Stegostoma tigrinum: one gene and its partners. The protein of the gene in region 1 purifies or fractionates together with the protein of each later gene. This does not show direct contact. Links are inferred from orthologs where the notes say so. Each region holds a gene or a part of one and is shown in the gene's direction. Other genes may lie near its edges.

Region 1 (7,983 bases):
GCTGGATTCAACCAAGTGTGACATTAAGGAGGCCTAGCAAAACTGGAATCAATCGGTATCAGGGAGCAATCTCTGGTGATTGGAGTCATACCTGACACATAGAAACATGGTCATGATTGTTGGGGGTCAGTCATCTCAGCTCCAGGACATCTCTGCGGGAGTTCCACACATTTGTATCCTAGGCTGAACCCATCTTCAGCTGCTTCATCAATGACCGGACCATCATAAAGTCAGAAGTGGGGACGTTCGCCTATGATTGCACAATGTTCACAACTATTCATGACTCCTCACGTACTGAAGCGTTCCACATTCAAATGCAACAAGATGTGGACAATATCTAGGCTAGGGCTGACAAGTGGCAAGTAACATTCACGCCACACACATGCCAGGCTGCAGGAATACTGCAACGGGTAACTCATGTCCTGACTTCCCAAAGCCTGTTCACCATTTACAAGACAAGTCAGGAATATGATGGAATACTCTCCACTTGCCTGGATGAGTACATCCCCAACACCGTTCAAGATGCTTGACATCGTCCAGGACAAAGCAGCCCGTTTGATTGGCACTACATCCACAAGCATCCACTTGCTCTACTACCATTGCTCAGAGCAGAGGTGTGTATTATCTACAAGATGCACAGCAGAAATTGACTAAAGATCCTCAGACAGCATCTTACAAATCTACGAATACTTCCATGGAGAAGGACAAGGGCAGCAGATACATGGGAACACCACTACCTTCAATTTCTTCTCCAAGCCACTCACCATCCTGACTTGGAAATATATCACTGTACCTTCATTGTCGCTGGGTCAAAATCCTCAATCCAGAGCAGGTGCTCTGCAGTAGTTCAAGGAGGCACCTCACCACCATCTTCTAAAAGGCAACTAGGAACAAGCAATAAATACTGGCCAGTCAGTAATGCCCACATCCCACAAATGAATAAAAAAAGTGGAGAGATTGTTTCCCTTTCTGTCCAGGTCCAGAGGGCATAATCTCTGAGCAAGAAATTGCCCATTTAGGACAGAGATTAGGAAGCATTTATTTGCTCAGTGGCTAGTGTCATAGAGTGTTACAAGTCAACAGCTCAGATAAAGGCTGAGTCTGTATTGGTCAAAAACAACTGCCTAACTACACTAATGTCACTTTTCGGCATTTGGCCCATAGTCTTACAAGCCTTGACATCATATGTGTACATCGAAATACATCTTCAAAGTTATGAATGTTTGTTCCTCGAACACCTTTACAAGCAGTGAGTTCCAGATTACCATCACCCTCTGGATGAAATAAAATTCCTCACATTCCCTGTAGGCATCCTGTCCCTTATTTTAAATCTATGCTTTAAATCAGTCATTGATTCCCCCAGCAAGGGGAAAAGTATTCTCCTGTCTATACCCCTCATAATTTTAAACATCTCATTTAATAGCACACTGTCTCCTCTTCGAGGAAAACAAACCATTCTATCCAATCCCTCAGAATCATACAGTCAAACAGCATGGAAACAGACCTTTCATTCCAACCACTGCATGCCAAGCAAAATTCCAAAGTAAACTAGTTCCTCCTGCCTGCCTTTGCCTATCTCCCTCCAAGAATTTTGATTCATATCCTTAGCCAAATGTCTTTTAAACATTTTAATTGAACCGCATCCACCACTTCCTCTCAAAGTTCATTCCATACATGAACCAATCTCTGCTGAAAAAAAATGATCCTCATGTCTTTTTTAAAATCTTTCCCTTCTCACCTTAAAATATGCCTCCTAGTCTTGAAACCCCCCCACTCTAGAGAGAAACCTTTCAGCTTATTCATATCCGTCGGGATTTTATAAACCTCTAAAAGGTCATTCCTCAACCTCCTACGCTTCAACGAAAACTGTCCCAGTCTATCCAGCCTCTCCTTTTAACTCAAACCTTCCATTCCTGGCAACATCCTGGTAAATCTTTCCTGAACCTCTCTAGCATAATAATATCCTTCCTTTAACAGGACACAGTGTTCCAGAAGAAGCCTCACCGACATCCTGTACACCTTCAACATGACGTGCTAACTCCTACAGTCAAGAGTCTGAGCAGTGAAGATAATGAATCCCTCCTTAACCACTCTGTCTATATTGGACGCAAACTTCAAAGAATTATGGACCTGAACTCCTAGGTCTCCATTCTACACTACTTCTGTATACAAGTACATAACTCATGAAAGGTGGTTGGACATGTTGAAGAAAACAGTTAAAGTATGTGGGCGGCCCGGTGGTTAGCATTGCTGCCTCACAGCGCCAGGGACCTAGGATCAATTCCACCCTTGGGTGGGTGATACCCAAGGCCCATCTATTAATTGTATAAGTCCTGAACTTGTTTATTTACCAAACTGCAATACCTTGCATTTATCCAAATTAAACTCCATCAGCCACTCCTCAGCCTATTGACCCAATTGATCACGATCTGTTTGTAACCTGATGTATCCTTCTTCACTATCCACTATACCACCAATTTTAATGTCATCTGCAAACTTACTAACCATACCTTCTGTATTCTCATCTAAATCATTCATATAAATGACAAACAAAAGCGGACCCAGCAACAATCCCTGTTGAACACCGCTGGTAACAGGCCTCCAGTACAACAATCAACTCTCTCCGCCACAATTCTGTGTCTCCTGTTGTTAAACCAATTTTGTAACTAATTGGCAAGCTCATCATGAATCCCATGCTATCTAACTTCACTAATTAGTTTACCATGCAGAACCATGTCGAAGTAAAAAGTCCAAGTAAACAATGTCTATCACTCTGCCCTTACCAATCTTCTTGGTGACTTCTTCAAAAAACTCAATCAAGTTCGTGACACAAGATTTCCCTAATGCAAAAATATTGCAACACCCCCTCCTCTTATCTTCTTGTGTTTTGTCTGAAGACCCTAGACTCTCCAGTATTGAACTGTCAATTCTGCTCCTGTCTCAACCATGTCTCAGTGATAGCAATTAAATCATCCCCCCTTGTTTTACTTCATGCAATCAACTCATCTGCCTTATAAGTCAGACTCTTTGCATTAAAATAAATATCATCCAACTTTGCCAAGCTCCCTTGTGCCTTAACTAGCATATAATTTCTATGGATTCCTGACTTCCTTGCTATCTCTTTTGATTTTGGTTCCCCATTGGACTTTCTCTCTGGATCGTACTGCTCTGCCAAGTTAGTTTAAACACTCCCCATTAGCGCTAGCTCACCTGAATCTGTACAATTCTTTACTACATATGGCTGTTGCAGCTGCATTAGTAAGTATATTCAAGTCGGACATGTACAGATTTTTAATCAGTAAGGATATGGCAGGAAAGTGGAGACAAGAAATATGAGATTAACCATTTTCTCAATGAATAGCAGACCAGAGTCAATAGGCCAAATGTCCTACTTCTGCTCCTACAACTTATAGTCTTACTCCCTGTTCCTATGACCTGCAGTGGTAATATGCATATAGCAAAAACTTGTATTAACATAGCACCTTTAAAATGATAAAAACATTCAAAGTAAGTTGGCAATAGTATTACAAAGTAAAATGATGCTGAGCCACAAATAAATCTCCTAAAGGAGAAAAGATAGATGGAGATAGAGGGTATTCTGAAGTTCAGGGCCTTGGCAACTAAAGGCAGGCCATCAGGAGAGGTATGATTAAAATTAAAGATGCCCAAGTGATCAGAATGGAAGAATGCAGACTTCTCAGAGGAGCATGAAGCTGTAAAAGATTACTCAAATATAGAATTCTGCTGTTAGAGATTAGAAAATGTTTGCCAAATGATTCTTCCAGTACTTACTTAATACAAATGAAGTTTTAAAAAGATAACACAGAAGGAAACTTTGTAAATCAGCTTTGATTGATGTACAAATATACCAGACATTTGGTTAAACAATATTTTACATTAATGGAAAATAAGTTGAAGAACAGTCAAAGAAGGTTGCACACAAGTCCACATCTTTGACATTGCATGAACGCAATATTTTTAAAATAAACACAGGTAGTAAAGCAAATGAACATGATTATCAATACATCAAACGACGGATATCTGTGTTGCTTTACATCTCAATGTGAAACAATTTATTTACTCATTCAGGGTTAAATGATAGATTTTTACGTTTCGTTTGTTGTTAGGAACGTTGTCTTGTAAGGAAACCGAAATATTTATGTTCGAAGCATGCACAAACAGAGGGAGGTGTAATTATACCTTTTGCTTCTTCGATGTTTGAATATATATTATAGGCCCTTTAACTTCCGAGTTCCCATCTAAGGCACGTGACGTTAATTGTGTACCGGTCGTCCAGTTTCCTGTGCTCGAGCGCTGGGAAGTTGACGGTTGCGCCTGCGCGCGGCTCCGCGAGGACAATCCTGCTGGAAAATGAGTTCCAGGAAAGGTGAGGGGAAAAAAATAGGAATTAACGCGTTTGTCCACTAGTCTATTTAAACGTCAGGCACTTTTCTTTTTAGAAAGGAACACATCACAAATAGAAACAAACCTCCTTACATTACACGATTGCCTGGATATTTTGTTTTGGTTGTTAAGTGCTAGGTATATTTAAAATTATATTTATATAATTTCCTCCTTGTTTTCCGTCTTGTCTTGTCAGTCCTGGCTATTCAAGCTCGAAAGAGGAGGCCGAAAGGAAAGAAAGAGAAGGCTCATAAAAAGTGAGTAGTGCAGAGTGTGGCTTGTGTAAATTGATGCTGCTTCTCTGCTCTAGATGTTTCGGGATCTGCTAACGGCGCTTTGGTCTTGGGCAGAAAAAAAGCTTTATTCATTGAATGATGGCATAATTTTTAAAAAAAACTCGATATTTGTGCTTATACACTATTGCATCCTCCGTGATGTTTATTCCATTGCTTGGTCCTAACATACGTTTTTAGAAATGACGGCCTTTTTGTTGGCATTTTGTCTAATCTGGGCTTGACCGAATTTGGTTTAAAATATCCAGTGTAAGTTAATTGTTTTGAGAAAGTGCCATCAACTGTAATCAACTGTTAAGATGAAGTCTGCTTTCTTCGGTGTGGATAGGAGTTTTCTTTGTAAACTATTGACATTCTCATGTAGTTTTGAGATGTGTGAGCCATTCAGATTGGATGTGCATGTTATGTCACTTCGGTATGATTACTTGATGATCGTTTTGTCTCAAACATAACAGCTCCTGTTTTTAATTTGTATTGTACTGTATATTTTGTTAACATTGATTTAATGTTCTATCTCTTCCCACTATCACTTGGCCCTGTGCTGCATCACATAGTGGAATTATCCACTGAGCCATGAGGGAGTGATGATGATTGGTTTGGTACTTGATGGAAATTCATTTAGTTCTATGGTAACTGCATTTGTGTCTGATGCCTGTGCATTTCCTTAATATTTCAATTTTCATCCGTTCCATGCATGACCACACAATAAAGAGAGGAGGCAAAACTTTTGTCCTGGAGGAGAGATTGAGTATTATTGGTATTCATACTGATGACATTTCACTCTTGTAACAACAAATTAATTTTGTATACAAGTCACTGAATGCCAGTAACTTGTTTGATTCTAAATTTGAGGCTCATGTAGTTTCAAAATTTCGTGCTAATTATATTTGTAAATTTGTGGAACATCTTTGCTTCTAAAGCAACAGTGAGAAGATTTTTTTTCAGTGCATTGTTGCACGTGTGTGTTTGTGTTCTAGGGGTGAGCTTCATTGAATCAATAGTTTAATATATTCCTGGCATTGTTATGGTGCTGAATAAAATATTCATCCATTGACCAACGAGGTATGAATAAATTCACTTTGGCTCGAAGTTGGACCTTTTTAATGTTTGAACCAAACTGGTGTGTAACTAGTACCTTTTTAATCAGAACAAATTAAAGTAATAAAAGTGCAAAATACTGCTGATGCTGCAAATGTGAAATAATAACAGAGAATGCTGGAAATACTCCTCAGGCCTGGCAGCAACTTTGGAGGGAGAAAGAGAATGCCATTGACTTTAAGCATTAAGTCAATTCTGGGGAAAAAAGTCAGACATTTTTGGTTTTAAACAAGTGTAGAAGTGGAGGATGGTTGCCAAGTGCAAGAGGAATGTCCTGTGGCTAAATGGAAGACAGAAACAATTCAATGATGAAAAGACTAGTGGTACTAGGTAAAAAGAGATGTCAAGGAAATAAAGATGAATCTATTGTAGGTGTAAATGGGGGGGAGGGGAGGCGGGGGTGAGGTCACTGGTGCAGCTTTTGCCTGCTCTTAACGTTTCCAGCATTTTCTATCTTTTTTTCATGTTTTCATCCTTTTTTTCTTGCTATTCCAATATCTTTTATTGGTGTTGCTTCTTGCTCAAATCAAGAATTATGTAAGTGATCAGTTGCGAACAACAGGCTTTAATTAGGTGATATGAATTTGCTTAATGTTTTGAGTTCTTTAGCTTAGGTCTTGCTGTTGGATTACTTTTATATTGGCGTTTAGGTTGGAATCTGGATAGCTGATATCAAAAATGTGATTAGAAATAATATTCTCACTAAAGAATGCCAGATCCTTTAGTTGGTGTTTCCCACCCAGAAATTCAAAGCAAGTTAGTATGAAAATTGCAGATGCTAAACCATAATCTTCCTGATCTGTCTTCATTCAGGAATTCTTTTAGGTTTGAGAATTGAAAAAAGAACTCCATAATTTAAGAGGTGAGAGAGCAACCAGAAAATTATAGACCTGTTTAACATTGGTTGTGGGAAAGTTATTGCAATTCGTAATTATGCTTGGGAGAAATATAAACTTAGAGAGTCATAGCGTCATACAGCATGGAAACAGATGCTTTCGTCAACCGTCCATGCCGAACATAATCCCAAACTAAACTAGTCATACCTGCCTGCTCCCTGGCCCATATCTGTCCAAAACTTTCCCATTCATGTACATATCCAAACATTTTAAATGTTGTAATTGTACCCACATGCACACTTCATCAGAAAGTTCATTCCACACGTGGACCACCGTCTTTGTTTGAAAAAAAATTGCCTGGTCTTTTTTTAAAATCTCTCTCCTCTTGCCTTAAAAATTGCCATCCTAGGCGTTAACACTATCCACGCATAGAACATAGAACAGTACATTACAGTACAGGCCCTTCGGTCCACAATGTTGTGCAGGCCCATTATTCTAATAAGATCAATCTATCCTACATACCCTACATTTTACTATCCTCTATGTGCCTATCCAAGAGTCCCTTAAATGTCCCTAAAGTCCACAATGTCCCTTCGGTCCACAATGTTGTGCAGGCCCATTATTCTAATAAGATCAATCTATCCTACATACCCTACATTTTACTATCCTCTATGTGCCTATCCAAGAGTCCCTTAAATGTCCCTAAAGTATCTGACTCCACTACCACAGCCGGCAGCACATTCCACATGCCTACCACTCTGTGTGAAGAACCTACCTCTGACATCTCCCCATACCTTCCTCCAATCACTTTAAAATTATATCCTTTGTAATAGTCATTTCCACCCTGGGAAAAGTCTCTGACTATTCACTCTAGGCCTCTCATTATCTTGTACACTTCTATCAAATCACCTCTCATCCGTAAATCTCAATATTTTTTACACTTCTATCAGGTTCTATCATACTCTAAGGAAAATAATCCCAGCCTTTCTATATAACTCAACTTCCATACCCAGCAACATCCTGGTAAATCTCTTCTGAACCCTCTCTGACTGAATAATTCCCTCCCTGTAACTGGGAGACCAGTATTGCAGAGGAGGTCTCACCACTGTCCAAGAAAACTTCAACGTGACTTCCCAAATCTTATATGCAAAGAACTGAGTAACGAAGGCAAGTGTACCACCCTATCTGTATGTACCTGCACCTCTTGGTCCCTCTTGTTCTACAACACTACCCAAGGCCCTACCATTAATTGTCTCAGCCTTACCCTTGCTTGTTGAAGCAAAACACAGTACCTCACATTTATCCAGCTTGAACTCCATCTGCCATTTTTCAGCCCTTTGACCCATTTGATC
Region 2 (7,738 bases), on another chromosome or scaffold:
GTGGAATGAGCTTCGAGGAAATGTTGGATGTGGGTATGGTTGCAATGTTTTAAAAGACATTTTGAATAAGTAGGTGAACAAGAACAGTATGGAGAGCCAAGCACAAGCAGGTGGGATTGGTTTAGTTTAGGATTATGGTTGGTCTGAAGGGTCTGTTTCTGTGCTGTGTGACTATCACACTACAACAGTAAGGTTTGCATATTCTTTCTTTCCTCTAGAATTCTAATTGCTGACTCTGCTCTAAGTACAATAGGTCCACGTTGTATCAAATATAAAATTAACTAACTTTTCAAAATATGGTACTACAAATGAGCATTGAATTGAATGGTAATCTGGGCCACTTTGGCTAGCTGCCTCAGATTCTCTAACAAACATTGGCCTTCAGAAACTGAGGTGCTTTGTCCAACTGATGACTCATTTTGTGCAGCCTCACTTTTATGTTTGAGAACGAGAGTCACTTTCTTGTCTTTGTACACTGCATAATAACAGGACCTCTTTGCATTTAGTTTTAATGGACATGCGTAGCTTTTTCTAAGACTGAGGGTGAAGTAATGTGGGCAGGGACTGTGAGTGTGTTTTTTTTCAGAAAGATAGCAGCAAGATTGCATCAACTTTATAAGCTTAACTCCTCTCTTCAAATTATCATTGTTTGTTTGCTTTAAAACTCCTGGGTGGAGTAAATGACAGGAATGTTTCAACATGTTTCCAGTGGATTGTTTGTTGCAGCAGTTTTGTTTTGCATTAGTGAATGCTTCTAAGGCCACAAAAAATGGCAGGTGGTCTGCAAAAAATCCTAGCTATTGGCGAGAACTGTAGTCTTTATCTGATTACTGTGTGGAAAATGAATAATTTTGTTTTAAATTTCTCTTTGATGGAATTGATGACGAAACAGAAGGAAAGCCACTCAATCCATTTTGAGCCTGTGCTGGCTCTTTCATAGAACTATCAAATTTGATTACTAACTCTGATCTCTTTGTTTGGAAGTTTAATTTTGATTCAAAATATCCTCAGTCAGTGCATTCCTAATCACTGTTTGCCACACTAACTAAATATTTACTCCTCTTAAAGTTAACCTTTCAAATCTCTGCTCTCTGGTTACTGATCATCTTGCCATTGAAAGGAGTTTCTTTTTTAGTTACACTATAAGCACGTCTATCACATCTCCCCATAGCCTCCTGTTTGCAAGATAATAAAATGTGAGGCTGGACGAACACAGCAGGCCAAGCAGCATCTCAGGAGCACAAAAGCTGACGTTTCGGGCCTAGACCCTTCATCAGAGAGCTCTAGGGTCTAGGCCCGAAACGTCAGCTTTTGTGCTCCTGAGATGCTGCTTGGCCTGCTGTGTTTGTCCAGCCTCACATTTTATTATCTTGGAATCTCCAGCATCTGCAGTTCCCATTATCTCTGATACTATTTTAGCCTCCTGTTTGCAATCTGCTTTACTGAGGTCGTTTGCCTTTGGATGAGTTAGGCTGAATGGCCTGTTTATATGTTGTAAAGTTGACACCAGGTTCCTCTCCATTCTCCTTCTCCCTGAAGTCTTCACATCCTTCCTAATAGTTTTATGTGCAGAATTGGATGCAGTTCCCTAGCTGAAACCTAATGATTGTTTTCAAACCGTGTTCTTGCTAACCTCCCTGACAGTCAATTTCCAAGACTCCACAGCATAAAGCTGAAAACAAAATTTATTTGAATAAAACCAAACTCCACGCTGTGCGGTTCACCACCAACTGTGCTTGCTATTGCTTCTTTATTTTTGGCTATCAATTCATCAGACAGTTGGAAGATTATTCCTGTTTTCTTTGGAAATGGTGACATTTTCAGTTCACATTTGAGTTCAACAGTTGAGGTGAAACTTTGTGCTTTTGTTATCAACAGATATGTTTATTCATAGCTGGAAAAATAGTTTCATCTTTGGTCCAGAAATACACCCAACTGCAGTGAGTTTTTTTTAAAAAATGGGTTCCAAATGTGTTTTGGATTAGAAGATTAGTGTCATTACAAGTTCATCCAAGTTTTGGATGATCTCGTTCAAAAAAAGGTCCTTTTTTGGTTGTGCCTTTTTAAATATGGATTATGCTACAAAGTATTAGTATGACGTGTGTTCCCTACCAAAATGCTTGATTTTTGGCTTGTATTCTATTTCTGTAGTGAGAACCGCTTGTTATGATGTTAGTGGATTTGGGAGATGGAGCTTTTGATACTGTCACTAAAGAAATAGCATTTACTAGCAGACTGCCTGATCTTTGTATGCCCACTCCTTTTTTTTTTACAAAAACCTGTTTGAGCGTAGGGTTCAATTTTGTGTTCATAGAACATAGAACAATATAGCGCAGAACAGGCCCTTCAATCCTCTGTTGCGCCGACCTGTGAAGTAATCTAAGCCCATTCCCCTACACTATCCCATCATCCATCTGCTTATCCAAGGACTGTTTAAATGCCCCTAATGTGGCTGAGTTTAGCTATATTGGCAGGCAGGGTGTTCCACATCCTTGGCACTGAGTAAAGAACCTGCCTCTGATATCTGTCTTAAATCTATCACCCCTCAATTTGTAGCTATGCCCTCTTGTACAAGCTGAAGTCGTCATCCTCGGAAAAAGACTGTCACGGTCCACCCTATCTAATCCTCTGATCATCTTGTATGTCTCTATTAAATCCCCTCTTAGCCTCCTTCTCTCAAATGAGAACAGACCCAAGTCCCTCAGCCTTTCTTCATGGGGCCTGTGCTCCAGACCAGGCAACATCCTGGTAAATCTCCTCTGCACTTTTTCCAGTGCTTTCACATCCTCCCTGTAATGGGGCGACCAGAACTGCATGCAGTATTCCAAATGAGGCCGCACCAGCGTTTTGTACAGTTGCAGCATGACACCACAGCTCCGGAACTCAATCCCTCTACCAATAAAACCGAACACTCCATAAGCGTTCTTAACAGCACTATCAACCTGGGTGGCAACTTTCAGGGATCTATGTACATGGACACCAAGATCCCTCTACACACTCACTCACTACCAAGCATCTCTAGGTATTTTAATTGTGTCTGCATGCCATGGTTCCGAGTTGAAATGCAGATCAACCATGATCTTAGTTAAATAGTGGAACCGGCTTGAGAGGACAGAATAGCCACCCCCTGTTCCTCGTGCATAAATGAAATAGGCTGGGCAAGGCTCTACTTCCAAATCCATTGGAAACTCACAAATTTCTGCAAGCTTTCTATCAGCCACACATATAATAAAGATCATTTTAATGAAATATTGTCCTAAAACAGCTCCAACCTGTTTTTTTTTCCCTCCTTTTTGTGGTACAATTTTAAAAGTACAACTAAGGAAAGCCATGCATTATTCTGTTGTCAGTTCTCCCAGTTTAACAAAATCACTGAGCTACCTGTTTTGTTTAAATTTTGGTAGCCTTCTGCTTTCCAGAGTGTTTAATGAAGTCTGGCCAACTTGGGACCAAGGCAGCATATTAATGTGTAAATTGTGCAGAAATACAATTGTTTGTAGCAGTAGCTTATAAAGTAAGGTGCTGAAAGATGTGGAAGCTGGTGAGGAACCTAATCAAACATGGCCTAGCAGTAGCACTTCCTTCTGAGGAAGGGTCACCAAGCCTGAAACATTTAACTCTTTGGTTTTTCCTTCACAGATGCTGCCAGACCTGCTGGGCTTTACCAGCAACTTTTTGTTTTTGTTCCTGATTTACAGCATCCACGGTTATTTTGGTTTTAATGGCTTAGCAGTTGCTATATAAGTAGGAAAAGGAGGGGGCTAATCAGACCTCTTTGGGCCTAACATTCAGCAAGATCACGGTTTATCTGTATCGTAACACCATCCACTTGCCCTGTTCTGCACCTCCTTGATAACCTTCTCTTGAAATCTCTGCTTTTGAAATTTTTGATTGATCCACTTTTTGGCCCACTTTGGGGTGGGGGCACGCAGTGGGGGGGAAAGAGGGATTCCACCTTTTTGTATACACCACATCGGGTGACCACAAACCAAACCAAACCAAACCACTACCGCCGCAAGAGTTGAGGTTGATACTCCTTAACCTGTAACCAGCTTTCTTCTGATTTGTCAAGGTATCTTGTTTTTGAACTGAGCCTGAAGTGAAATTTTACAGGCTAAGTTTCAGGTGTCTAATAGAAAGTTTGTTTATTTTTGTTTCTGGAAATTCTTTCTGAGCTGAAAGCAAACTGGATTTGTTTGCAAGCCTGAATCAACCAAGTGGACAATGAATGGTTAATGTGGAGCCCTGTCTCATTCCTCCAGTTCGCAGGCTTAATCCCACTTGTTGTAACACTGAGTGTTTGTTTCTTTTTCATAACAGTGGATGTAAGAAAAAAACAACTTCCTTTTTGAAGTTAATGGCTAGTAGAAAACACATACATACTTTTCAAAATTGGATGAGATTAGCATTACTCTTCCATTCTTGTGCAGTATCGCCCTACTTAGTATGTACAATGTAAAATGTGCTAAATTCAGTGTGGCGGCCAAGGTTCTGATTGTGACTGACTTGTGTCCTGAATGGGCTGTTTTGCCTTCCCAGCACAATTGTAACAGGCAGGATTTGCGCTACATGTAGGGCAGCGATGTATTAAGCTTGCATAATCTAGCTTGATGGTTTCTGGAAATGGATGATTCTCGGTGCGAGGACTGACTAGTTGTAGGCGATTGCAACCGTGTAGTGTTGCATCTCAGTATGAAGTCTATCCAAACGCTGCAGCGAAAATGGGCCAATTTAGTGCATTCGTTCAAGCTCTACAGTGGTCTTGTGAGTCTTTCTAAGCTACTGTCACTGTTTTTCATTAATGCTTGATGGTCAGTCCCCGTAGTTTGTTTCTTTTCAATCTTGTAATTGTTCACAGTTCGCTTCTCCTGGTAGTTGGAAAATTCAGACTAACAATTGCATGCTGTTGTAGTTTAGTTTAAATTAATGTAATGATCTCGAAGAGATTAATTGTTGGGATGGCAACTAATTTTTTTCAACACCAGCTGTATGTATCATGTAAAGCTTTTAGTCAAATAATTCTTAATCTGTGTTAATATTTTCAGCTATTTTCTGGAAACTGTCCAGTGTGCATGTTTGAATTGTGAACCCCTTGTACCTGTTGAGCTGTGGTATTGTTTTGGGAATGACAAAACACGAGGCAACCATTTGGTTTGTTGTGCCTACGTTTACCCAGGGCCATGAAGAACTCTTCCCTTTTTTTTTCTGAAAGTTACTATTGAATCTGAACAATGCTTTGGAGACCCAAAGCAAAACCAATCTCCTCTTGCTATTTTTCCGTTTTATCTTAAAACAAATCTGCTTAATGAACCTCCTACTGGAAACAGAGTTGAGGCTTTCTAATATCATCTTGGCACATAAGATTCATCTAAAAGCAAACTAAATCTTAAAGTAATTATTTTATTTCTCATCCCTTATCCCTTATTTTGTCCATTCTACTCGGCTGCAGTGCTTCTCAAAACTATGCACGGTAAAAGAGTGGTATTTTATGAAAATGCTTTGTTGCTGCATAATTGTTCATCAGGGAGGCCACATTTCTGGGCCTTTCAGCTCCTTTTTCGTTCGAAAATTGTCCTTCCTTAAAAAGGAAAGGCACATAACCAAGAACTAAGGACTATAAAATGTGAAAATTACAAGTAGGTCAGCGAACATCTGAAAGTGGAATTCTAACCTCCAGTAAGTGGTTGACATAACTACCGTGAATGCATTTAAAGGGAAACTAAATATACAAGTGAACTGAGAAAGAAATAGAAGGATATATTGATGAGTTGGGAGAAGCATGATCACTAGCATACAATCAGTTCAGCTAAATGGCCTAAATTTGTGCTACACCATTCTCTATAACAGAAGGACTGTGATATCAGTGACTTCTGTTCACCTTTTCCCTCTCTCTTCCCTTCTTTCTTTAAATTGAAGCACAGTTTCTGTGTTTTGGTGATTTTCTTGAAATGTTTGAAAGTACACTTTGCAGTTGTATGGCTCTCATCTGAGGTAGAAAATGTTATACCTTCCACCTGTAGTCTCCTCTTTGGAACTCTGGTACTAAATATTAATTAAGTAATAGATCTATTAGGGAATTTGAGGAAAAGCTTTGTTACCCTAAGAATGTGTGTTCGGGTATAGTGAGGTGTATACTACAAGCTACTGAAACAACACCAGAGGAGGAAGGGAATAGATGAGTATGCTGATAGTGAGCTGAGACTCGTATGGAGCATAAAGCATTTATTTGGAACACTTTAGATTGAATGGCCTGTTTCAGTACTGGAAAACTTTTGAAGTAATTCTGAAGAGCACTTGCCCAAAAGGTTCCCCCATTTTTTCCTTCTCAACTGATTGAAATGCTCGTCCTATAAAAATGCTACACTTGCGAACAGTGGATTTTAACTAAGCAGGTGAGATTTATGTGACTTGAGGGAGCATGGTCATGAGAACTGAGTTTAGTGAGCAAGTCTTTGTTTATTTTTATATTTTTCTTGTATTTTCTCCCCCATCCTTTTTTTGTTTTGTTTTTAAACAATGATATAAATGCAAGCTGTGAAACACCATTATTTCCCCCCTCCCCCACCATGGGAATCCTAGAACTCTTACTACAGGAGCTATTTATTGACCATCTTCATAGACTCCCTAGAGTCTGGAAGAGACCGTTCAGCCCATCAAGTTCACAGCAAACCTCCAAAGAGTGTCTGTCTGACACCACCCTCAAATCTATCCTTGGAACTTTATTTGCCATGACTAATCCACCTAGCCCGCACATCCCTGGACACTATATGGGCCAATTTTTTGCATGGCTAATCCACGTAACCTACACATCTTTAGACTGAGAGGAAAACGGATCATGGGTGGTGGTGGGGGTGGGGGGGTGGGGGGTGGGGGGGGATGTGGGGAGCGGTGGGAAGAGGTGGGCAGCAAGCGTGCAGACATGGGGAGAATGTGTGTGGAGTTTGCACAGTTGCTCAGGGCTAGAATCCTAGTTCCTTGACACTGAGGCAGTGGTGCTTACTACTGAACCACCATGCTGCTGGTGTTTTGATTCTATTTACTGTCCTATGTACTGAAACACAGTGAAAAGTTTTGTTTCAGTGGTACAGGCAGATCATAGTAAGCAAACAATGTACAGATCAAAAATACTTAGACAGATACCTTCAGGTTATATTGCACAGGGTGTGTACTAGGTGAGATCAACATTTAGAGTTGATCACTCTTGTTTAGTAAGATCAGTGTTATTTGAGGTTAGAGTGTCCATTCATCTAGTAATAGCCAGGCAGAAACTGTTCCTAAACCTGCTGGTGTGTGTGTTCAGGCTTCTGTATCTTCCTGACAGAAGAGGTTGTAGGAGATCATTGCTAGGGTGCCGTGGGTCTTTGTTGGCAGCCTTTGTGCAGCAGTGAGCCATGTAAATGAAGTCTGTAGATGCAAGCTTGGTTTCTGTGATGGTCTGGGCTGTGCACACCACCTTCTGTGGTTTCTTATTGTCCTGGGCAGAGCAGTTCCAATACCAGACCATTATGCACTTGGACAGTATGCTTTCAATGGTGCATTGGTAGAAGTTGGTGAGGGACCTTTTATGGACATGCTAAATTTCCTCATGCAACTCAGGGGGGGAAAAAAAAAGAGGCATTGTTGTGCCTCCTTGACCATCTATATGGGAAGTCCAGGACAGGTTGTCAGTTATGGCCACTCCAAGGAACATGATGTCTCGCTCTCGCTCTCGCTCGCCGACATTGAGAGAGATTGTTTT
Region 3 (7,964 bases), on another chromosome or scaffold:
AGAACACTCAAGTGCACCACAACGCAAGCCAGACTGACAATCCTAAATTGTAATTCTTTGCACACTCAGGTTTCTTTTGCAAATATTGTCCAACCATGGAATCAAACCCATGTTGTACACTGTTGTGAGTTTTGCAAGTGTGGGCTTGTCGCACACAGTCAGTATGATTGCCTGTTGTGAAGAGCCAAAGGGATATGCTGTTTGATTTGATTTGCTAGTCCATAGAACATATGGCTTATGTACATGGCATCACGCCGGTAGTGAAATTCATATATCACTTTAGTTATTTGTGTGATGTGCAGAATATCTTCTGGGCTTACTGGCAGCATCCTATTCATGGTGATCAGAAATCATATTGCCAGTCCATAGGAGTAGCACAAAACAGTGTGTTGTTCAAACTTTTGAGATGTCATACCTTTCCAGGCTCATCAGAGAGATAGGCATCTTTCATGACTAAACTAACTCAGGTCTATTTATGAATTCACATGAAACAGTGAGAAATTATCTGGTCACGTAGCCATTATACTAAAGGATAGCCTAGACTAAAAAGCTGTTCAGTCACACTGAGAGATATATCTAGTGTGTACATAACTACATATATTAATATACAGGAGCCCTTTTTTTGCAAATAGGAAGAAGAGGTACACATACAGCATCCTTTTCAACCAACATGCAGATGGCAGCAATTCTCTGGTTTATTTCTCACAGCAATATGTCGAACAAGCAAAGTTAACATGCCTAGTTTAAAATTTAAACAAACTTTGGAAGTTCACTTTCAGCATCCTCCTCTCTTAAAGCATAATTGTTGTTTTCACTTTACTTTGGGACAATGCTCAAGAAGTATTAATAAATGCAACACACTATGGCAAATTGTCTTTTTTATGCAATTCTCAAATAAATTGAAAAGTTTATATTGCCATGGATGACTGATCTTGCTGTTTTTCCAAACTTCACTTGAAATATGTTCATGGGTTAAAGTGAAACGTCAAGAAATTATGATCCATGAGACAGATCAAGAGTGGCACATCTGTCCTTGCATAACAAGTGACTCAAGCACTGTGAGCATAATTTAATCAACCTGTAGATAAAGAAAAATATTTGTGTACAAAAGTTAACAGCAGTTCATTATGTTGAGTCAAGGTCATCTATCCCCATTAGATCAAATAAGTTACTGTACACTATTGCATCTGTGTTTGGAATAGCTCTTCACTGCACCTGTTCACTCTAATTCTATCTCACTGCCCTTTCTCAGTGCTGTGATCCCTATATAAACCAGTAACTTTTATAAAAAATGTGAACATCGAAGTAACGGTTGACAGAATCACGTCACAACAGTTTAAGTTTTAGGATTTTACTATAACATGCAAACTATAAGTAACATTGGGAAAAACATTGTTTTATATGGCAAATTGTAGAAATATTGGCCAGGACTGGGAAGAGCTCCTCTTTTCATTAATGAAGTTGTGCCATCAGATTTTTCATATTTAGTTGAGGGGGCAATCTGAGACTTGATTCAACATTTCACCCAAAGTCAAAACCTCCAGCAGTGAGGTACTCTCTCGGTACTGCAGTAAGGTGCCAGTTTAGCTTTATAGCTGATGTGGGATCTGACTTTGAAACAAGTGCATTCCTAGTGAACCACAAATAACCAATCCTTGTTGGAGTCAGTAATAGCCTGAAACACGCCACCCATTTGAAATTCATAGTAACTACGTGTGAGGATCCAAGGGTTTGGGTTATAAGGATAAGGAATGACTTGGAAGATAAGGGGTGCATATGTCTATTTAGGAAAGGGAAAATAAAAACTGTATTTGGATTTTTAAACTCAGAACAGAACATGAATGTTTACAATTTTTGTCTCAGGCAAAATCATTTGCAACATTCAAAATTTTCCAGGGAACCTTGATCCAACTTGTGCAGCCATAGGAAATTTAATGGGGGAAAGTAAACTTGAATATCTTCAAATCTTTTTTCAAGGATAAGAAATGAAATTGCTTATCAAACATTCAGTAGTTTCATGAATCTAACAAGATGTACTTACCAAGAAAATATGCCTCCTATTGATATAAATTTGAAGGGGAGGTTCCACTGCTCTTCTGTATTTTAGGATTTGCTTGATGAAGAATCACCCAAACAATACCTCCTACATATGAGCTTTACAACTTGTTAATTTTATGCCAAATTTTAATGACATAGATGTTCTGCTGCTATCTTTGCAACAGTGGTTCTGACATAAATAATTTTAAAATCACAGATTGACACTATACAGAAGGAATTGATTTGCCGTATTGTTTGTGTTGGCTTGAAATTGCAACCCATTAGTCTAATCTCTTGCTCTTTCACCATCTCTGTATTTTTCCACTTTAACTATTTATGCAGTTTCCTTTTGAAAGCTAACTTTTGGAGGACAGCACATTCCAGATCAACAAAGAGTGTCATGTTTATTCCTTACATTTGGCTGGATTTTTGCATGAAATGGAAAATATAGGAAGCATGTTTAGTAAGTTTGTGGATGACACCAAAACTGGTGAGGGAGTGGACAGCGAAAAAAATTATCTCAGAATACAATGGGATCTTGGTCAGTTGGGCCAATGAGTGGCAGATGGAGTTTAGTTTCAGTAAATGTGAGGTACTGTATTTCGGTAAGACAAATCAGGACAGGATTAAACTATTAATGGTATGGTCCTGGGTAGTGTTGTCGAACAGAGAGCCCACGGAGTTCAGGTAAATAGTTCCTTGAAAGTAGTATCAAGGGTAGATACTGTGGTGAAGAAGGCATTTGGCACATTTGCCCTCATTGGTCAGAGGACTGAGTGCAGGAGTTGGGATGTCATGTTAAGGTTATACAAGACATTGATAGGACCACGTTTGGAGTACTGCAGACAATTCTGGTTGCTCTGCAAAAGGGAGGATGTTATTAAACTGGAAATGCTGCAAAAAAGATTTACAAGAATGTTTCAGATATAGTAGGAACTGCAGATGTTGGGAGAAGCTGAGATAACAAGTTGTAGAGCTGAATGAACACAGCAGGCCAAGCAGCATTTGAGGAGCAGGAAGGCTGACGTTTCGGACCTAGACCCTTCTTCATTTTTCTGAAGAAGAATCTCGGCCTGAAACATCAGCCTTCCTGCTCCTCTGATGGTGCTTGGCCTGCTGTGTTCATTCAGCTCTACACCTTGTCTTCTCTTTACAAGGATGTTACCAAGATTGGACTGTTTGAGTTATAAGGAGAGGCTGGATAGGCTGGGACTCTTTTCCCTGGAGCGTAGGAGGCTGAGAAGTGGCCTTATAAAGATTTTTACAATCATAAGAGGCATAGATATGGTAAATAGCGAAGATCTTTTCCCTAGGGAAGGGGAATTCAAAACTGGAGGCATGGTTTCACGGTGAGAGGGAAAAGATATAAAAGGGACCTGATGGGCAACTTTTTGACAGAGTATGTGGAATGAATTGCGAGAGAAATTGGGAGATGCACATACACTTCAAACATTTAAAAGACATTTGGTCAGGTACATGAATAGGAAAGGCTTAGAGGGACATGAGACAAATCAGACAAATGAGATTAGTTTAGTTTGGGAAACCTGTTCAACATTGACAAGTTCAACCAAAGGGTCTATTTTTGTGCTGTATGACTTTTATAAGTCAGGAAATTTCTAGATTTGGCTCATTGCCTTGAGAAAAAGTGCCCTTTGATTTTGGACTGGGATGGGAGGCTGCAGCCCTCGGTGCAGATCGCAGGATTGAATTGCCTCTTTCTGTGCCATAACTTTTCTGTGATGCTATGGAATTGGCCACAAAAGTTGCAGGATGGTCTGCTCCAATTGTTTTGTTCCTTTTACATTCTGTTACTTCCCCATCACACTCATGATGCCCCATTTTACTGTAGTTCGTTCAGCCCACAATTCTCCACGTCAATGCCCTACAAATGTACTGACTCGTGCAGTCCATGGTCCCTCACAGTCCCATGCTAACTTAGTGCCAACTCATGCTCGCCACACACCATTTTACACCACCTAAAGCTAAAACGGCCAATATTTACAAACGGCAGACCGCGACAGCCATGGTAAAATAAAGATCTAAACGTATCCTTTATCTTGTTCACTTTGCTCTTAGTACAGAGGACCCATTCCCCTCGTTCGACACCTTAATTTACAACTATTTTACTTTATTTTCTCTCTTTCTCCACCACTAACAACGCTTTGCCTCCTCCTCGGTCAAAAGTACATATTAAAAATAAATTGACATTTTTCAGTTCCGAAGAGCCATGCTGGAGTCGAAGTTGTCAACTCTGTTTATCGCTCCACAAACACTGCCAGACCTCATGGGTTTCTCCAATGCGCTGTGTTTGTTCTAAATTAAGCATCTTTCACACTCTTCACGAAAATAAACTATTGCTCGTATTCACCAAGGCGCCAATTCTCTAACCCCACCTGCAGGTGTCGGTACAGAAAGGCGCTGTTTCACCTCCCAGACTGGGAGGAGCGCGGTGGCGCTGTTTCGCCTCGCAGACTGAGAGGAGCGTAGTGACACGTTTGGCATCTCTCAGTCTGGGTGGAGCGGTGTGGCGTCGTTTCACCTCCCAGACTGGGAGGAGCGGTGTGGCGCTGTTTCACCTTCCAGACAGGGAGGACTGAACAAGCTGGACCATCTTGTTAAGATTGCTCGTGGTTTCCTCTTCTCTCCGGTTGCGGAGTGGTGGGTCGTGATGGCGCTTTACAACTTCAAGAAGATCACGGTAGTGCCGTCCGCTAAGGTAGGTGGTGGCCGTTTGGAGGCTGCGAGCGACTGGCCTATCAGACGTTGTACATATTGAAAGGCTGGGTTGGGTCAGAGTGGCGAGTAACTGGGCCGAGAGCTCCCGGACACGTGTTCCCCGTCAATCCTATATTTCCTCCGCTTGCTCAGGGCTGAGTGTAACGTCTCGGCCCGCAGCGGATGGGGATGGGGTGTAAAGGTGTATTTATCAGGTTCCGGCAATTCTTAACGTGTTCATAGGTTTGAACCCTCTCCCCAGCCGGCTTTTTATGTTCCACACACACGAACCGATTGGTCACTCTGCACTGGCCAGGTTGGGACAATGATTTAAAATATCATCGTTTTACTGATTACAGACTTGAAGGGAGTGTAGAATCTTTCCAGGACTTGGGAGTAACTCCCTCCATCACCAACCCCTACCCGTCCCAAAAAAAAGTGGCTGTCAATTCCCCTTCAATTTCATCGGCTGGTTAAAGGGACGCCCCAGTCACCGGAAGGCGTTGATGGTTGTCGAAGGCTCTTCCTTCTCCTCCGCCCATGCACCTTCTTCCTGCCCCCGCATCAATGGATCATCTCCAGTTTGATGCGCAGGTTTTCACTGCGCAGCCCGAATGAAATTTCTTTCGCCAGCTATTGGTTTGCGGGATTTTAATTTGGTTTCACTCTTTTTCAAAACCGAAGTTTGGAACTTGACACTTTTGGATTGTTTCCTCTAGCAGAGTGATGATGTGGAGCTGCCGGTGTCAGACTGGGTTGGACAAGGTCAGAAATCACACGGCGCCAGGTTATAGTCCAACAGGTTTATTTGAAACGCAAACTTTCCAAGCCTCAGCCCTTCTTCAGCTGTTAGTGAGAGAGGTAGTGTCAGACACAGAATTTATAAGTAAAAGATCAAACGTTTGCACCATTGATGAGGATGTACTAAACAAACCTAAGATGATGTTAAATCTTTAATCAGTGGAAGGTTTAATTGAATAATATGTATATGTAAATCTTTGCATTCCTTTCGAGTCACAGTCCTGAGAGAAATAAAGGTTTTTTCAGAAGAGCCAGCCTGACTCCAGTCTAAGGCACTTGCAGATTCTAAACAAGGTCTCACATCTAACGTATATTGTCTGACCTAAGATGTCACCACTTCTTTACACTGACAAAAGCCTTCATTCTCTTGGGGCTGCCACTTGAAAGGAATTTGCTGATTTCTGTGTACGTATTGATCAATTAAAACCTTCCAGCTGATTAAAGATTTAACAGCATCTTAGGTTTATTTTGTACATCCTCATCAATGGTGTGAACCTTTGGTCTTTTACTTATAAATCCTGTGTCTGATACTGCCCTCTCACTAACACCTGAAGAAGGACTGAAGCTCCAAAAGCTTGTGTTTTCAAATACACCTGTTGGACTATAACCTGGTGTCGTGTGATTTCTGACCTTGTCCTCTGGCAGAGGGCAATAATTTAGGACTGAGATGAGGGTAATCTTTTGTTGTGAATCATTGGATTCTTCGAGTCTAGAATATGTTGCATAATTGAGTGCACTTGAGTGTATGTGTGGAATAGATAGAATTTTGCAGTCTTGGAGAATCATGGAATATGAGAGACAGATAGAAAAGTGGAGTTGAAGCCGAAGGTTAGCTATGAGTGAATTCAGTGCAGGAGGAAGTTCAAAGTCCTTATGATCTGCTTCAGTTTTTTTTAATGATCTTGTGTCTTCATTATTCAAGTAAGGAGGAAAAAAAATTGTGTGCTTGGGCTTGTTAGTGATTTGCTATCTTGAGAACTTTATGCCGTGCATTTCCCTTAAGTGATGTCAAAGTCATTTCAATACATTTCTCAGTTTGAGTTTGCTAAAACATGCATTTTGTCGAAGTATTTTATCTTGTACTCATCGGGACAATCCACAGATGTCAATAGGGGAAGTAGTGGGAAAGAATTGACTGGATGAGTGCAAGATGAGAAGGCTCCATGAAATTTCTTACTCAGCATTACACACCTCCACAGTTCATTTGTGCGATGTTGTTAACCCAAAAAAATCCTGAGTCCTAAATCCAATAATTATAAGACAAAGAAAATTATTTCAAACACAGATTTTGTGTGCCTGACAAATTTGGACAATCAATATGCTTAGGTAATGGATATCTTGGTTACATCTAGGGTGCCAAAACATTGATGAATTGTAAATTTGTGGCAACTTTCATTGTCACAGGCACAGAATATAGTTCCTAACTCCAGTTAGGATTGATTCAGTAAAGAAAGCCTGAGTAAAGAGTTTCACACGTGGAATTTTGGCAACAGGTGAAGGAAGGTTGTATAGTTTAGTGGGGCTGGGTTAAGGAACAGGAGGTCGAGGTCTGAGGAACAGGCTGAGATCGAAAAGATCATGCAGAAAAAACTTTGAAAATACGCCCCGTAAACTTCATCTCCTTCAAGGTTCCAATAACCAGGTATTGGACAGCAGCAAGGCTTTCTCACTCATCATCGTACTTTTAGCTGATCTGTGTGGAGGCTGTGTCATTGTACCTTCAATTTTAAAAATTCTCATCTTTAGTTATCAATCTCACAAAGGACTATTTAATTTCTGTCACAACATTAGAGGGAGTACTGAATGTATATGTGTAAATTCAGCATCTTTTAAAGTGAGATGTTTTTAAAGACAGTTCTGCTTACTGTCACTGAACTTTACAGATGGGTAATAATACCTCTTCCATTTAACCAGAGAGCGTTCATTTTAACTGTCAGGTTTTTGCAGTTGAAAAAGTAGATAGTTTGTTCAGAAAGACATCCAGATATTTCTGCATCCGAGCTTTGCAGCCTATCAACATTTAAATAATAAGCATATTTCCTTTCCTTTCTGCCAAAATTAACAATTTGACATTTTCCCACTGTGTACTCCATTTGCCACTGACTTAATCTTTTTTTTATAACTTTCTTGTTTCCACTTGACAACTTACATTCCTACCTATCTGTCTGAGATTGGTGTGTTTTGCTACTGTATTTTCCTGTCCCTTAATCCAATTCATTAATGTGAATTGTAATATGTTGAGGCACCACCATTAATCCTTGTGGCACATTATTTGTTACATTTTGCCAACCTGAAAATGACCTGTTTCTACCTACTACCTCCTTCCTTTTGGCCGCCAAACTTCTACCTAAAAGATCGTGATATGTGCTTCATTGAGAGATTTTCCACAATAACCTTTGATCCATCAAATT
Region 4 (8,025 bases), on another chromosome or scaffold:
CCCAAAACTTCTTTCCATTAGGCTTCAGCCCTCACCTCATTGCTAAAACGCCTTTTAACAAAGTCAGAAATTATATCAAAAATGGCTATGACCTTTCATGTGGTCCAGAGGCTTTTACACAGATGACATCTAGCCCCAATGCCTCTCTATCGTCTCTGAATGGGACTACAGTTCCTACATTCAATTCTTACCAAACCTCATAGAGCCAAAGAAACATCTGCAAAGGTTTCTCTTCCCAGTCTAAGCTTTGACATCCCTCAGGATCTTCAGCTCGTTCCTAATTCTCAGTCTGCGTGAGTGACCCTCAGCAACTTAATAATAGGTTGTACTGAATGCTGACAACAAGCTCTATTTCATCAACACCTTTGTTGTTGAACGGAGCCATGATGTGGAGAAGCCGAAGTTGGACTGGGGTGGATAAAGTCTGAAGTCACACGACACCAGGGTTATAGTCCAACAGGTTCATTTGAAATCACAAGCGTTCGTAACGCGGCCCCATCCGACAAGTGCACCTGACGAAAGGGCTCCTCTCCTAAAGCTTGTGATTTCAAATAAACCTGTTGGGCTATAACCCGTGTGGTGACTTCTGACTTTATCATTGAAGGTTTTGCAAATTCTAGGGAACTGAAATAAGCACCAAAAATGGTGGAAAAACTCTGCAGGTCTGGTAACATCTCTGTAGATTGAAACAGTTAACATTTCAAGTCTAAAGTGACTTCTTTGGAATATTTTTAAATTTATCACAATGCCTGTCCAACATATAATGCAGGATAAGGAGAAACTGCTGGAGATTAGATGTAGGAATGGAATAGGCCACGAAGGACTTTGAAAACGAGGGACAGAATTTTGAAAACAAGGCATTGCTTCACTAGGAACAATAATCCTTAACTCAGGTTCAAATGCTACAACTGATTATACTCAGGGCTTGTCTGATCATGCTTTGGGATGTTTGGCTATATAACTAGTGTTCTATAAATGTCAGTTGTCTTCACTAAGCAGACCACGTGTTTGGTTCATATGTGCATCCAACAATCGGATCAAGGTTGCTCTGCATTTTCAAATGGAATCCAAATATTACTCTCCGTGACTAGCATATGTCCCAGAAATATCTCAACTTCTGTGACTGTTGTGGATGGGTAATGCTTTACCTGACAGAAAGTTACAGGATGAAACATTGCCTTCAGAAAGCAGTGGGTAAGATTTGCTCAAGACCTGAAACAACTCAACAATCTCTTATTGATTGGAGCAGAAACTCTCCCCTGACATACAAGGTTCAATATATTAAGTTGGAAAACTGGAAAATCAGGAAAATTGTATGTGATGTGCACCAACAAGTACAGACCAAATGTAACAATTAGAAGCATAAAGAGCAAAATAACCTCCACAATAAATTTGTTCTGTCTTTCATCCATTGTGCATTTAAAAAAATTCAAATCACTAAACCATGCTTCTTGTATCTTTTCCTAAGCTACATCTCACTCATTCCCTGACCTGCAGTGGTTTCCAATTCCAGATTGTAATTTTGTTGCCTAACCCTTTCTTTTTAATCTTTTCTGCAGCCTCTTGAAAACTTGCCATTCCTCTGACATTAGCATATTTTGCCTTTCACAATTGCTTCATTCCTCTGGCAGTTATGCTTTCAGACACCTGGGCCCCAAGATGTTTAAGATCAGCACTTCAGGCGTGGTCTCTCACATAAACAAAAGTTTCTGTCTTGTTGCAGCAAGCTTGGTGAAAGGCCTCTACACTGAAGTCTGAAGGAAAATGGATTGGCGTAACAAACCAGATCAAAATATTGGTTAGCAGTTTCACTCTGCTGCACTGCTGCCAATGCCAAGAAAATCTAGCCTTGTGAAACAATTAACTATTTTAAGAAGGAGATTGTAATGCAAAGTCCATATATATTAGCAGGTGTACTCACATAAAGCAGAAAAGGTTGATGATTAGCCATGATCTAGAATATTGAAGTAAGCTCAAAGGGTCTGAATGGCCTATTCCTGTTTTTATGTTTCTCTAACTAAATATATCATATTACTCATGGAGATCTGCAATCATGGAACCTTGCTTTGTGCTTAGTTAGCTGATCTTATCTATGATCAAAGTCAATTAGCTCAATTATGACATATTACTTTGTGTTCTCCTGAGTTGTAAATTTCATCCAAGGGTAAGTAACGTTTGCACTAGAAGCAAAGAGTCTGTAACAACCCTTGGTACCAGTGAGCAAAGAGGACAAAAATGAAGCCAGCTTTGTGCTGCTCTTTACTGTACGATGCTGCCTGTTGGAAGTGCACACATGGGCATGTTGAGTTATGGTTAATAGTGCTTCATAATTACAGCCTTGTATTTAAATATCCTGCTGAAATTGCTCAGCATCACACTACAGCAGAAATTTGAAATGGTATAGAGCCAATGAAGCACCTGTGGAATTGCTATCCAGTGTAAATCACTACTTGCTCGGAAGAGAGCAAATTTTGCAACATCAATCATATGAAAGAAGTCACTTACAGTGTGCTTCTGTTTATGTTGGGCTTGTGTGCAAAAAGATTTAACTTAGTTGATGACATGTGCACATCAAAAAGAATTAGCTATGTGAAGACTTTGAATCTGCACATATCTCCAGCACGGTTCCAATGTAAACTGTGATCTTCAAAAGAGGAAACTGGAGTGAAAAGGGGAACTTTGTTGAGAGAGGAATAAAAAAAAGAATGGTTGAATCTAAAAGCAAACATAACACTGACTACAAAAGCATTTTATAGCGATTCAGAACAATAAAAAAATTTACTTTGCTTTTTTATATTAATCTGTGTGTCTTTGACCCTCTATTCACCAGTACTGCAGCTGCCAATGTGCACCATCACAATCTCACATTTATTATTGGTTGTCACCAGTAAAGTTCTTACTCTCTCCCACCATGGCAGGTCCTTGGATATCTATCCATCTTTGCACCTTTAAATCTGTCCTTTTCCTGACATCTTTTCCCTCCTCCTTTTCCCAATTTCCCCAACCCCTTTACCCTCACCCTCTGCCTAATCCTCCCCTCTCTGGCCGCCTTCCTCTCTCCCAGCACCACACCTCTCCCTCTCATTTATCTCACTTCCCCTTGATGATTGACGCCCCCTTACCACCCACCACCCAACTTTCTTCAACCCCACCCACCTTTCACCCTTACTGGTTCTTGCCCCAGCCAACTCTCCACCTTTTACACCACCTTCTCCCTCGCACTCTTTTATCCCTAACCAAATCTTTTACCCCCAACCCTTTTTACCCTCCTCCCCATACCTTTACCTTAGTCCCTTTTGCCCTATCCACATCCTTCCCTTTTCCTGTCCCCAGTCTATCTTTACCCTCACTGCTCCCTGCCATTCCTACACTCCCATCCTCTTCCTCACATCCTCCTTCCCTCTCCACCACCATCTTCCTCCATACTCCCTGCTTCCCTCCCTTTCCATTTCTCCCCTATCTGTTCCCCAACTGCCCTCTCCCATTCCCCCTCCCTTTACCTTTTTACCCTTTCCCCTCACTTTTTCTTCCCTACCCACTCACACCTTTACCTCTTCCCACCTATACCCTCCCCCTTTCTGGACTTTCGCATTCCCCTTTCCCCCATTTACCTCCCATTCCCATCTACCCATCCACCACTCCCCTTCCCCCAGCCCCTGACCCCACTACCCTCATCTCCCTTCTCCGGCGACCCCCATCTCACACTCCACCTCTCCCTCTCCCCTTCCCCCACTCCCCTCTTCTGCCACTCACCCTCTCCAACTCTCAAATTCTGCCACTCCCCTGTACGTCCACTCACCCTCCTCTTCCCCAACTCCCCCCATCTCCCTTTCCCCATCTCTGCTCCCCAATCCATCAATTGCCCTTCCAGCGCTCCCCTCAACTGCCCTTCCCCCACTCCCCATTCACTATTGCCCCTCTGCATTCACCCCTCCCCTAAACCCACTCTCTTGTATTCTTTCCCAATACTGTTTCCCTTCCCCATCTCCACCTCCCTTTCCCACAATCCTGTCTCCCTCATTCTCCATCCCCTCTCTCTTTCCCACACTTCCCTCTCCACCTTGCACCCACTCCTCCCTGCCCATCTCCCCTTACGCAACTGCCCTCCCCTCCCTAACTCCCCCATTCCCCTCCCACGCCACTCCCCATTCCCCTCCCACGCCACTCCCCATTCCCCAATCCCACTCTCCTTCCCCCATTCCTCTCTTCCCCCATTCCCCTTCCCAACTCCCCTTGACTTTTCTGACCGGGGACATCTCCCTACCATACGCCCCTCCTTTTCTACCACTCCTCTCCCGAGTCACCCCATCACCGTTCTCCCCACCCCTCTCTCTTCCCATGTGTGTGCCCAACTCCTTTCCCCACACTCCCCCCTCTAATTACCTCCAATCTCCCCGTTCCGCCACCCCTTCCACTGATTCCCCATCTCCCTTTTCCCCTTACACCCCTCCAACTCCCCTTCCCCCCGACTCCTGCCATCTCCCCTTCTCCCCACAGCTCTGCCTCAACTGCTATCACCCCTTCCCCCGACTCCCTTACGCCCCTCAACCCCTTGCTCACACACCATCCTCCCTTCATCCCCTATTCCCCACCTCCTCTCTCGACATCACCTTTTCCACTAGCCCTTCATCCCCTATCCCACTTCCTTTCCCCCAGGCTCTTCACTGTCTGTGTGCGTGTGTGTGTGTGTGCGCGTGCCTGTTGAAATTTGGATGCGTCCTCCAGATGGATCGATACACACACACATTCTCACCACGCCCCCGTAGTCAGCCAGCAGGAAACCTCGCGAGATATGTGTGCGGGCCGAGAGTAGGAAGCCGCCATTTTCTGAATGCTCTCGCCAAGAGCGAGAAATGTTAAGAGTTAGCCTGGGCCCAGCTGGTGAAATACTCCTGACGCTTGCGAGTGGGGGGCGGAACGATTTTTTTTAAAAAAAGGAAAGAAAAAGTCTCAAACTCTTAACACTGTTGGCGTGCTGCGCAGGCCTGTACGTTTTTTTTAAAGTAAAAAGATATTTTTTAAAATATTTTTTGCAGGCCCTGTCTCTGGTCGTGTGTGTGGACACGTTGAGCATCCGGAGCCGCAGCTGCTATTTGTAAATTTTTGTTTTCGTTATTAGAAAGGGGGTAAAGAGCCTTTCGTTTCGATGTTCGGTCTTTGATTTCCCCACCCCCTTCTCCCTCCAAAGGGGGAAGACGAAACAACCCCCCAGTTCGTTTAGGTCATAAAGCATCCCCCTGCCCCGCCACTTGCCACTTTCCTCCGTCCCGATCTTTCCTGCTTCCCCCCCCCTCCCTCGTCAACAAATTGTTTAGTGTTTGACAAGAGCCGATCGGCCTCTGTTATCTCCCACCGCCCCCCAAAAAAACCTTCTCCCTTTCCAAGCTTGGTCACAATGATGATAGAAAATCTCGATGCCCTCAAGTCGTGGCTCACCAAGACCCTGGAACCTATGTAAGTACCAGCGAGTTTGGACGATCTCAGTGCATATCCGGGTAGTTAAAGGAGATAGATTCCACGGGGTTATTGCAGAGTTATTGTAGTTCATTTTGGGGGAAGAGGGTTGGAGGTGGTGGATAGTCAAGGGAACGAAATCGGTGATCCTGCAAACAAAACTCGCTCAACTTCAGAATTCAGCAATAGTATTTCGTCGGCTGTAGTTCTGCAAAATTGGTTTAGTCCCTTAACATTTCGGACATGTCGATCATTTTCAAGTTTTTATCTGAAGGATGGTGCGTTGTTTATATCTATTTTTAACACTGCTGGCACATGGTGAGTACTTTTTTGGCTGATGTGTCGTAAGCATTCACTCTCCATTGCACAGTATTGAATACGCTTGAGATGTTCATCGATACCTGTACGTTGATTGGAGGGTGTTTTTTTTTTAACAAGTTGCGTTTCTGCAGCAACATTGAATTGAACGTCGAGAAGCCTTCCCCTGCGATGTAGTCCAGTTCAACAGTATCTCTTCGCACGTGATCATGAGATTTACAAGGGTTTTTAATCTTGATTTGTGCGGCAAGTAACAATTTTTGTCCTTAGCAGTGTAAATGCGTTTCTAAGTGACTGTTGTAATTTGCATTTTATAATATTTGAAGCCTATCCACTGGCCGAGTTGTTGATGCACATGTATTGCACCTTGTTATTTAAAATATTCATCGAATACCTGCTTGAAGCCATTAAGCCAAGTTTTTAGTGTTTATTTTAATCAAACTGTTGGGACTTGAACCTTGGTCTCTTGGCTCAGAGGTAAGGACACTACCGCTGTGCTACGTGGGCCCTGATTTCTTCATACATTTGTCAACTTGTAGGTGATTTTGCTTGAAAGTAGTTGATTATTATCTTACATGATAATGCCTTCCCCTTTCATTTCTTTGAACCTGAACAATTATTTTAAGAAATCAAGTCTGCTCTTAAACTTCTTAGTTGGCTACAAGTAAGTACTCAATGTGTGCACTATTTCAGTTAGTCATTTCTTGTGGCAGGTGAAGTCAACAGACCATGAATTATACTTAGTGTAACACAGTTCTCAAAAACCACATGCTGAATAGATTTCATGTCTTAAAAGCAAAGTTATACCATCTCCAAGATCTGCTTCAATATTTTCACTAAATGTTTTTAATCTACTGCATCCTGACCTTTGTTTTTGACACTTGTCTTAGTATCTTTTTCTCCATCTTCCCGCCCTGTTTATGGTGTTCCTTCCCATGATTGTCTAGATGTGTAGAACATCAACTGAAAATACGGATCTCCATTTTGCAGGTCATGTCAGTGAGACCTGTGCACTTCAAAAAGGCAGATTTTAACAATGGGATCACAAAACTGTAAAACTAATTTTACTACTCTTGCCTTTCGTGGGCATGATGCACAAGTAGTCAATCCAGGGACCCCACACAAGACTTTAAAAAAAGGATCGCTGCTGCAATCATGAAGATCCAATCATTTACATTAGCAAGTCAGCTGATACTGGCAGAACCAATTGCCAACGTATATTTCCTCAAATAGTGTGGTTTCCATCGAGGTTGCAAAATGCACCAGACTTAGATGGCTTTAAAATGCATTTTCTTGTGACAGGTTACAAAAACTGACTTGCATGTGCTTGCATAAGTAAGATTCTTAATACCTGTGATTGCTCTTCCATGGTATTGTGTATGATAAGTTATAGATTAAATCTTTTAATTATCCCTGCTAACTTTGTTTCTGTTTTTCTATTTTGCCTTTCTGCATTCTCTTTGTTTGATGTCATTTTCCTCCCTTTTTCTACTTTCTTTTGAGATATAAAATTGGGCTTAAAAATGAGGAGATGCAAAATGTTGTCAGTGGTAGGGGAAATGTGGGTATTGTGGACATTTGTATGTTTGTATATACTATTTTGGGAAAATGTCCTTGTAGTGGCACTGTGGGAGTTGGGGATAATGTGGCTTTCTATTGTTTCCTGTTTTCCCCCAACACAACATTGATTGCTGATCAACTATGATGTGCGCTGTAGCAGCTTATCATGGTTATTTTGACAGTACCGACAATCCTGTGATAGCAATTTACTAAGAAGCATACTGGTCGTAACGTTGTGGGAATGTCATTGCATCCCAGGTTCCTCTTCAGCCCTCACCATCCTGATGAGGATGTCAATGACCACTCCCTTGGTCATTGTCAGAATCCGCTCCAAAGCCCATTATCAAAGAACCGTTATTGCAAGAACAAGAGCTGATCAAGGAGAAGGCTGACCAGTACTTAAGCCGGGGAACTAGAAAAGGGGCAGTAAATTGACCTTGCCCATTTTGTGTACGTACTAACAACAAATTTAAAAACAAATACTTTTAAGCTAATATTTCCTTCCATCATATGCCTCAAATTCTTCATTTTCCTGAGATAATCATTACTTTGTGCCATTGTATCACTTAATCCTTTGATCCAGAGCTGAACACCTGTATCCTTCATTCCTTGTTCCACAGTTACCTCGTTGTTCTCACTTTCACTTGTTCCTTCCACAGAAGAGTGGCAATTGACAAGAGTTTTGCTCACTCG

Evidence for each region.
Region 2: the proteins of srpk2 (region 1) and tight junction protein ZO-2-like purify together in Homo sapiens (affinity purification with mass spectrometry; 3 studies listed by BioGRID and IntAct, with this or other methods). This does not show direct contact. The link is inferred for Stegostoma tigrinum from reciprocal best matches to the Homo sapiens genes SRPK2 and TJP2.
Region 3: the proteins of srpk2 (region 1) and gtpbp4 purify together in Homo sapiens (affinity purification with mass spectrometry; 3 studies listed by BioGRID and IntAct, with this or other methods). This does not show direct contact. The link is inferred for Stegostoma tigrinum from reciprocal best matches to the Homo sapiens genes SRPK2 and GTPBP4.
Region 4: the proteins of srpk2 (region 1) and rbm26 purify together in Homo sapiens (co-immunoprecipitation; 3 studies listed by BioGRID and IntAct, with this or other methods). This does not show direct contact. The link is inferred for Stegostoma tigrinum from reciprocal best matches to the Homo sapiens genes SRPK2 and RBM26.

What each region holds. Positions count from the first base shown.
Region 1 is NC_081378.1:22,540,546-22,548,528, forward strand, and holds the start of srpk2 (SRSF protein kinase 2), read left to right. Parts: upstream 1-4,290; 5' UTR 4,291-4,371; coding exon 4,372-4,387; intron 4,388-4,600; coding exon 4,601-4,661; intron 4,662-7,983. UniProt on the Homo sapiens protein: Serine/arginine-rich protein-specific kinase which specifically phosphorylates its substrates at serine residues located in regions rich in arginine/serine dipeptides, known as RS domains and is involved in the phosphorylation of SR splicing factors and the regulation of splicing.
Region 2 is NC_081356.1:27,980,026-27,987,763, forward strand, and holds the start of tight junction protein ZO-2-like, read left to right. Parts: upstream 1-4,569; 5' UTR 4,570-4,692; coding exon 4,693-4,764; intron 4,765-7,738. UniProt on the Homo sapiens protein: Plays a role in tight junctions and adherens junctions. Acts as a positive regulator of RANKL-induced osteoclast differentiation, potentially via mediating downstream transcriptional activity.
Region 3 is NC_081355.1:136,686,556-136,694,519, reverse strand, and holds the start of gtpbp4 (nucleolar GTP-binding protein 1), read left to right. Parts: upstream 1-4,619; 5' UTR 4,620-4,705; coding exon 4,706-4,753; intron 4,754-7,964. UniProt on the Homo sapiens protein: Involved in the biogenesis of the 60S ribosomal subunit. Acts as a TP53 repressor, preventing TP53 stabilization and cell cycle arrest.
Region 4 is NC_081359.1:29,917,581-29,925,605, reverse strand, and holds the start of rbm26 (RNA-binding protein 26), read left to right. Parts: upstream 1-4,808; 5' UTR 4,809-5,395; coding exon 5,396-5,454; intron 5,455-8,025. UniProt on the Homo sapiens protein: May be involved in the turnover of nuclear polyadenylated (pA+) RNA.